Linked DNA regions of Mus musculus: region 1 is reported to be linked to region 2. Evidence: microRNA targets listed by miRTarBase, many of them from high-throughput screens and not tested one by one. Region 2 holds a microRNA gene; the other region holds the end of a gene's coding sequence.

Region 1 (3,407 bases), not on the chromosome of region 2:
GTCTCAAAAACCAAGATGGAACAGTGATAGAGGAAGACATTCGAAGGTGACCCTCTGGTTCCACACATGCACGCACAGGCAAGCAGAACCACACAGATGTGCGTACATAGGCCATAAGAGTTGCCTTCGTCATGGTGTCTGTTCACAGCAATGGAAACCCTAACTAAAGCACCCTTTCCCCAATACTGGCTGTAGGAAGAGGAAAATTTGCTCTTAAGATGAAACTTACCCGATTGCTTCTACTAAGAGTCACATTAAGGCTAATGATGTGTAAGTGAAACAAAACAAAACAACAAAAACAAACTACTCCCAGGGTTATCAATTGTTGTGATAGAATTGTTCTGCAGTATTTGTCAAGAATATATGTTGCTTGGGGCTAGAGAGATGGCTCAGCAGTTCACAGCAATTGTTACTTTTGCAGAAGACCCAGGTTCAATTCCCATTTCCCACACAATGGCTTGTCCTTAGCTCCAGTGCCAGGGGGTCTGATGCCCTCTTGTGACAGCTATAGACACCAGGCATGCACAGGGGGCACATGCACGTATGAGGTCAATACTCTCATACACATAGAAACTGTAAACATTGAAAAAACAATGTAGTCTGAAACAGCTATGAAAAATAGAGGATTCTGGGGCTGGAGAGATGGCTCAGTGGTTAAGAGCACTGACTACTCTTTCAAAGGACCCAGGTTCAATTCCCAGAAACCACACGGAAACTTTCAACTGTCTATAACTCCAAGATCGGACACTTTCACACTGACATACATGCAGGCAAACCATCAATGCACATAAAATAAAAATAAATTATAAAAAATAGGACTCTACTTTCTGAGAATTTTCCAAATTATGTTGATTTTAAACTTAAGTTCATTTTTCTCTAATAAGCAGATTTTACAATCCCTAAGGAAAATAAAACCTGTTCAATAAATGAGTAAGGTGTTGGGGAAGGTCTAGCCCAAAGGCCCAAACTCCTACTATGCTTTCTCTTTCTTTCAATAACAGATCGTTCTCTCTTCACTGCTTGTTTTAACTGGATTCTTAGTGGCCTAGAGACCACCGCAGCAGTTTGGACTGTGTATTGAACCCATCTTTAAGCTTGAGTCTCAATAAAGATGTTGGGAGATGGTGGGACCTTTAACGGTTAATTAAACCGTAGGAGTTCTAACTTCATGAATAGAGTAGTGTCTTCAAGAGGCTGGATTAGGGCTTGGGGGCAGAGTGGATTGTTCTATAAAGCAGTAGTTCTCAGCCTTCCCAAGGCTGCGGCCCTTTAATACAGTTCTTCGTGCTGTGGTGACCCCCAACCATACAATTATCATATTATTGCTACTTCATACCTGAATTTTATAATACATTATGAGTCATAGTGTAAATATTCTGTTTTCTGATGGTCTTAGGCGACCCATGGGAAAGGGTGGTTTGGCCCCTGGGTGCTTCATTTCTTCCTCATGTACTATTATGGAATATGAGCAGCTGCTGCCCTTATCAGAGCCCTCAAGAACTTGGAATTAAATGAGCATTTCTGTCTTACAGAGTGCCCAGCTACAAGCACATTTCGTTATAACCATACAAAACAGACTGAGGTGAGGACTCTAGCTGGCTGGAACCTACTATTAGCCAACAGGAAGGAGGCAAGCGTGACCTTTGTAATTCAAAGAGATTTGTTCTGACCTTCAGCCCCTCTCCCCGCCTCGGCTTGGGATGAGTGGTAAGTACAAGGCTGACTGGATCTCTAGATTGCCTGTGGATCAGCTCATCTACGGATGGTCGAACTTGAAGTCCCGTGTCCCCTCCTGCAGCAGCTTTCTCTGTACCCTAATCTGCACAGCTCTGGGTATATGACTTCTTTCCCTGATGAGTCCCACCAAGAGTCTTCTACCCACTAAGTAAATTGGACTTATTAAAACACCCCCCCAAAAAAAAACTCTACCACATTCATGTAATTAAGTAACATTTATTTTACATAAAACAATTTTCAAAGAATACATTTAAAAACCATCTGGATACTGATTTGATAGCATTACAAAAAAATTGAGAGGCACAATTGAAGTATTCAAATAAATGGTGCGGGTGAAGGTGGGGGTCTATACCTGCTGTCCACCGTGTTTCCTGTGACTCCCATACAGGAGCCTTCCCATGAGGCAGTAGTGCACTTGGAGTAAATTGAATAAATCACATAAAATATATACTTTTATACAGAAAGTGTTATTGTATCATCACTTTCAATTACTTATAAAAACTTCATTTGGAATTGCACAAAAGTTCTCTTTAAAACTGATAATTCCCAGAAGACAGGGCTTAGAACTCTATGTCTAAATAATTCATTACAAATTAATTAGATCTCTATTTCTCCACAGATAGAAAACAATCTATGAAGAATTAATCATTTAAGTGGGACATTTAAAATTTCTTTTCATAGGAAAATAGGTTTATACATTTGTCCCTAGTCAGCTAAACTTTCTCCCCCCTACTTTAAAATAGATCACAGGGTATTCAGAACTTTCCGAGGCAGTACCTGTGCCACAGTACTGTGTGTGTGTGTGTGTGTGTGTGTGTGTCCCCTCAGCCCATCTTGTCTATCCCTCTGCTGCAGTATCCAATTATCAAAAAGGCACATGGCTACATTCTTCAGAACAGTTTTGGTCTTAAAAAAAATTCAGACACTTATAAGCCGTGATTCCAATCATGTTTTCAAACAAAAATACTAGACAAGCCCATTTCTCAAGGCAGGCAATAGAGAATCCACGAGTCCCTCGGCAGACGGCACGTCACTTTCCGTAGAACTTCTTGTTGAGCAGGTATATGAGAAGGTTCACGTTCACTTTCACCTTGTCGAACATTTTCATCACGGCCACCCCTTCATACTGCATCTGAAGTAAGTCCTGGAACGGGAGGGAAGGGTGACATCGCAGTGTGACGTCGTTGCTTAAAAACAGACTGGAAGAATCAATGATGAAATAGACCCGGCTGATCCAATAATCCCACTGTGGCTTCCAAAGCATTAGTCGGCTTAACAATACAGGTGAGTTAGGACTTGGAATCCCGTGCCCTGGGCCTGGGGACTTGTGCTATGGCAGCTCTGTGGTGAGAGCTGCATTTTAACAAGTTCCTAAGTGACAGTGAGTGGTGCTGTGGTCAGGACACACTTAGAGAATTACTGCTCTGCGTGGAAGAAAATGACTTTAATGATAGAGAGAGGGCTGCAGTTATAATTTGGGGGTACAGAGCTAGTTTGTGTGTGAGAGCTTTTGGCCTTGAGCTTCAGCACTGGGAAAAAAAACTGCATGAAAGAAAATTATTATCCAGTTAATATCAGACACGATTTTCATTTCAGTCTTACAATTAAAAAATTTTGTGTGTGTGTGTGTGTGTGTGTGTGTGTGTGTGTGTCCGTCCATGCATGTGGAG
Region 2 (3,407 bases):
AGCACCACGTTATCTGCCGTACATCCAGCCGTAGGACCTTGTCTTAAATGCTTCACACAAGCATGGTTCCCCCATAATCTCTGCTAATGCTGTCTCAGTCTTGCTGCTCATAGATGAGAATGTTTAGGTCTCAACCAGCGGAAGGCATGAACTATCTCCAACTCTTTAGTTCATTATGATTACCTGCACATCTCTCCTTAGCATATGCTTTATTGTTCCTTCCTTAGAACTTGGAGTATGAGTCACAATCGCTAAGCACGTCCACGACGCCGCAGAATTGGAGATTTTGCACCAACGCTTCCAGGTAAAATTTCTTTGTATTGTTTTCACAGCGAGCATTGAGTGTCTCTTTCCCTACGCGAGCCGTAAACAAGTATTAAGAACCACTGGAGCCCTTGAGATGTCACCAGCGAGTAACATATTGCAGCCTTCAGTAAAGATACTGTTTATAAAGAGCTGGTTTTAATGTATTGTTCTATTTCAAGGGGTATTGGCCATTTTAAGAGGCATAACAATGTTTAAGACCCTTGTTGTTAAGGAAAGTGCTCTTATGGAATGAAATAGGCCTGGCATCAGACAGAACTCTGTCACTGTAGAGGCAAGTCACCAGCAGTGTCATTTCATGCTCTTGGTGGGTATGCCAAGAACGCCAGGCCAATCACTTTCTTTGGGCCCTATTTCAGAGTTGTGTTTGCAAGGAGCAATTCTGAGATGAGGTAATGTCTCCCGACAGAACAAAGAACAGGCTTGCTTGCCGCTCACCATAAAACATAGTAGTTTCTGAGCTCAGCAATCCTCGCCTGTAATGAAAACCATTTTGTGTGCAAGCATGCATCTGGGGCCCATATGCCTTGTTCCTCAGAGAATCCGAGTTCAGGGAACTCATAAACATGCTGCCCCTCTGGCTACTGCTTTTGTCGTCAATAGTCCACACGTGTTCTGTCAATATCGATAAAGCCGTGAAAGATAATGTAATCAGCCTGCAAGGTAGAATAAAGTCTGACTCTTTATAGTTTGCCTCACTAGCTGGGGTACTCCTATGTGTGTGATTTAACTTACTGTAGCTGCGGTTTTCCCTTCGATAATGGGGACGCTGATACTTACCCCTTAATATAAAAATGCCCTTCCCCACTGAGAATTTCCTCTCCCCCTTTAGCGAACCGTGCGAGGCAAAGACCCTATCCTTTGATGGCCAATTCTGCCTGGCAGAGACCACCCGGTGGGCACAGACGGAAGCTGGTTTGGTGCAGAGGTGTCAGCGTCAGGTCGCACCACGCGAGTCCTAAGAAGGCGGGGTCGAGAGAGCCGCACGCTGATTGGAGCCGGAGCCTGGGCTTTTGTCTGGCAGCGGCCGTTGCCTAGCAACTGGGCTTTTATTATTTAGCTAGTTCTCTTCCCTCGGGCTTCGGGGTCGCCCTGATGGAGATGGGGAGGGGATTAGGGAACCGAAGACCCACTCCCTCCCACGCCGCCGCTCAGATTCGCGGCGACCCCGCCCTTCTGAGCAAAGAAATGCGGGGTCCAGCGCTGGCACCGGGCGGGTGGGGGATGTGGGGACCCCGCCATCACGCTCGGCCGCGCGCCCTGCAGCCGAGGCGCTCGCACCCGCGCGATCCCCACCCGCGCCGTCCGCCTCCAGAGGCCGCCCACTCGGACGCGCGTGGGGCGCGCGCGGGCATCGGCGGCTGCGCGGCTCGGCCGCTCCTCGGCGGCGGCGGCATAGTGGATAAAGCTCCCGGGAGGATGCCTCGGTGCGGGGCGCGTCGCCCCCCTCAGGCCACCAGAGCCCGGATACCTCAGAAATTCGGCTCTGGGTCTGTGGGGAGCGAAATGCAACCCAAACCCCGTTTCCCCGAAGCCCCGCGCAGATAAACACGCACAAGCACGCACACAGACGTCGCCTCGGCCCGCACTCGCAGCCGCAGGTCCAGGCGTCAGGGAAGAGCCCGGGGGCCCCGCGATGGGTCGCCGCCTTCGCCTCGTAGCCCCGGGCGCGGCCGCTCGCCCTCGCCTCTCGCAGGTGGCGACAGAAGTGCCCGGCGCGACGGCGCAACGGCCGGTCTGGGCCTGCAGCCTCGGCGGCCCGGGCCGGAGGGGAGCGGCCTCCGGACACCGGTAGGCGGGGTTGCGGGGCAGGCGGGGAGCCGGGGAGGGACAGGCGGAGTCGGCCACGGACGACTGGCTCCCGCTGCGCTTTCCCGACCCACGGCCCGCAGCCGCGGCCCTTGAGCTGAGCAGCGGCGGTTCCCGGGCGGCTGGGCGCTCGCCGGCCTCGCCGTTACCGTTGGAGGTGACCTAGGCGCGGCGGGTGGGCTCCGGCGACGGAGGCGGCCGCGATGGTGTCGGCCCGGGAGCAGGGCCGTTGCCTCTAGCTTAATACGGCAGATGCGCGGAACCTCCAACAGGTGGCTCCGTGGCGCAATGGATAGCGCATTGGACTTCTAGAGGCTGAAGGCATTCAAAGGTTCCGGGTTCGAGTCCCGGCGGAGTCGGAACATTTTTCTTTTGTCACCGAGGAAATTATCTTTGATTTCTGTCTTTTACTCCTTTTCTTTGTATTCTAAACGGCTTAATTCCCAGCACAGCCACACACCATTCCCGCTGCTCTCCGCAACCCTTACCTGGAGTTCCGGGAGCTTTCAGACCCCTTTAGCAGACCCGGACCGATCCCAGTCGAGAGAACAGGGAGGCAGTAGAGAATCCAGGTGCTCGACCTTGGCCTAAATGAGAGCTTGAGATAGGCCTGGGTCTCGAGTGACATTCCACGTCTGGAGCTTGACAGTGACTGCCAGCAGGGTCAAGAAAACAGGATGCGCAAGCTAGTCCGAAGGCATTAGAAGTACACCACCTCACCTCACCCCACCCCGCCTCCGGAATCTCGAGTGGATCTTGTTTTGTTTTTTTGTTTGTTTGTTTGTTTTGTTTTTTAAAAAAGGCAGATCTCTGTGGTCATTTCATGATTCCATTTCGGTGGATCTGGAATGGGGCCCAGAAATCTGCATTTCTGGGGTTGTCTGCTTTCTTCACGAAAGGAGACAGGTTGGAGTTGACAGGCTTTGCCTGCCAGCTAGAGGCAAGAGTTACTGTCTTGTCCCCTTCTGACAAGTGACAAAACTAGCTTTGCACAGAGTGAGCGTTTCACTTCACCAAGTGCCAGTATGCATAGTTTTTAAAAATTCACTGTACCGACAAAACCCCTAATTTATGCAAACCGTTAAAAAAATCAAAATTGTCGGTAAAAACACACTTTCACAGTATATTTCACCTCTTTCGGTTAATACAGGTGGAGCTGCACTGCTCGGTTGTGTCCCGCTGATGGAATAGCTAATACTTAGACCTTTAGACAGGCATTGTTCGCCCATTGCAGTCCTTGAGTGGACATCCTGTTCTTTGTGCACAAGTGTATC

The links. Region 2 holds the annotated microRNA mmu-miR-760-5p (CCCCUCAGGCCACCAGAGCCCGG, at 1,769-1,791, shown strand). A microRNA usually pairs through its seed, bases 2 to 8, with sites in the 3' UTR of a target mRNA and lowers its output. Matches are read on the target gene's strand: a 7mer-m8 pairs with bases 2 to 8, a 7mer-A1 pairs with bases 2 to 7 and ends in A, and an 8mer does both.
Region 1: miRTarBase lists Iqgap2 as a target of mmu-miR-760-5p. Seed matches in the 3' UTR shown: 7mer-m8 at 2,559-2,565.

The regions. Positions count from the first base shown.
Region 1 is chr13:95,625,240-95,628,646 of GRCm38, forward strand. Iqgap2 (IQ motif containing GTPase activating protein 2) reads right to left here. Exons shown (of 36, transcript NM_027711.1): 36 at 1,938-2,881. The coding sequence ends at 2,768. Among named protein-coding and RNA genes, the nearest start is that of F2r, 8.5 kb to the left of the region's middle.
Region 2 is chr3:122,292,033-122,295,439 of GRCm38, reverse strand. It overlaps Mir760 (microRNA 760), which reads left to right and starts at 1,737; the gene lies at 1,737-1,855. It overlaps n-TRtct2 (a tRNA gene), which reads left to right and starts at 2,408; the gene lies at 2,408-2,492. It also overlaps Gm40190.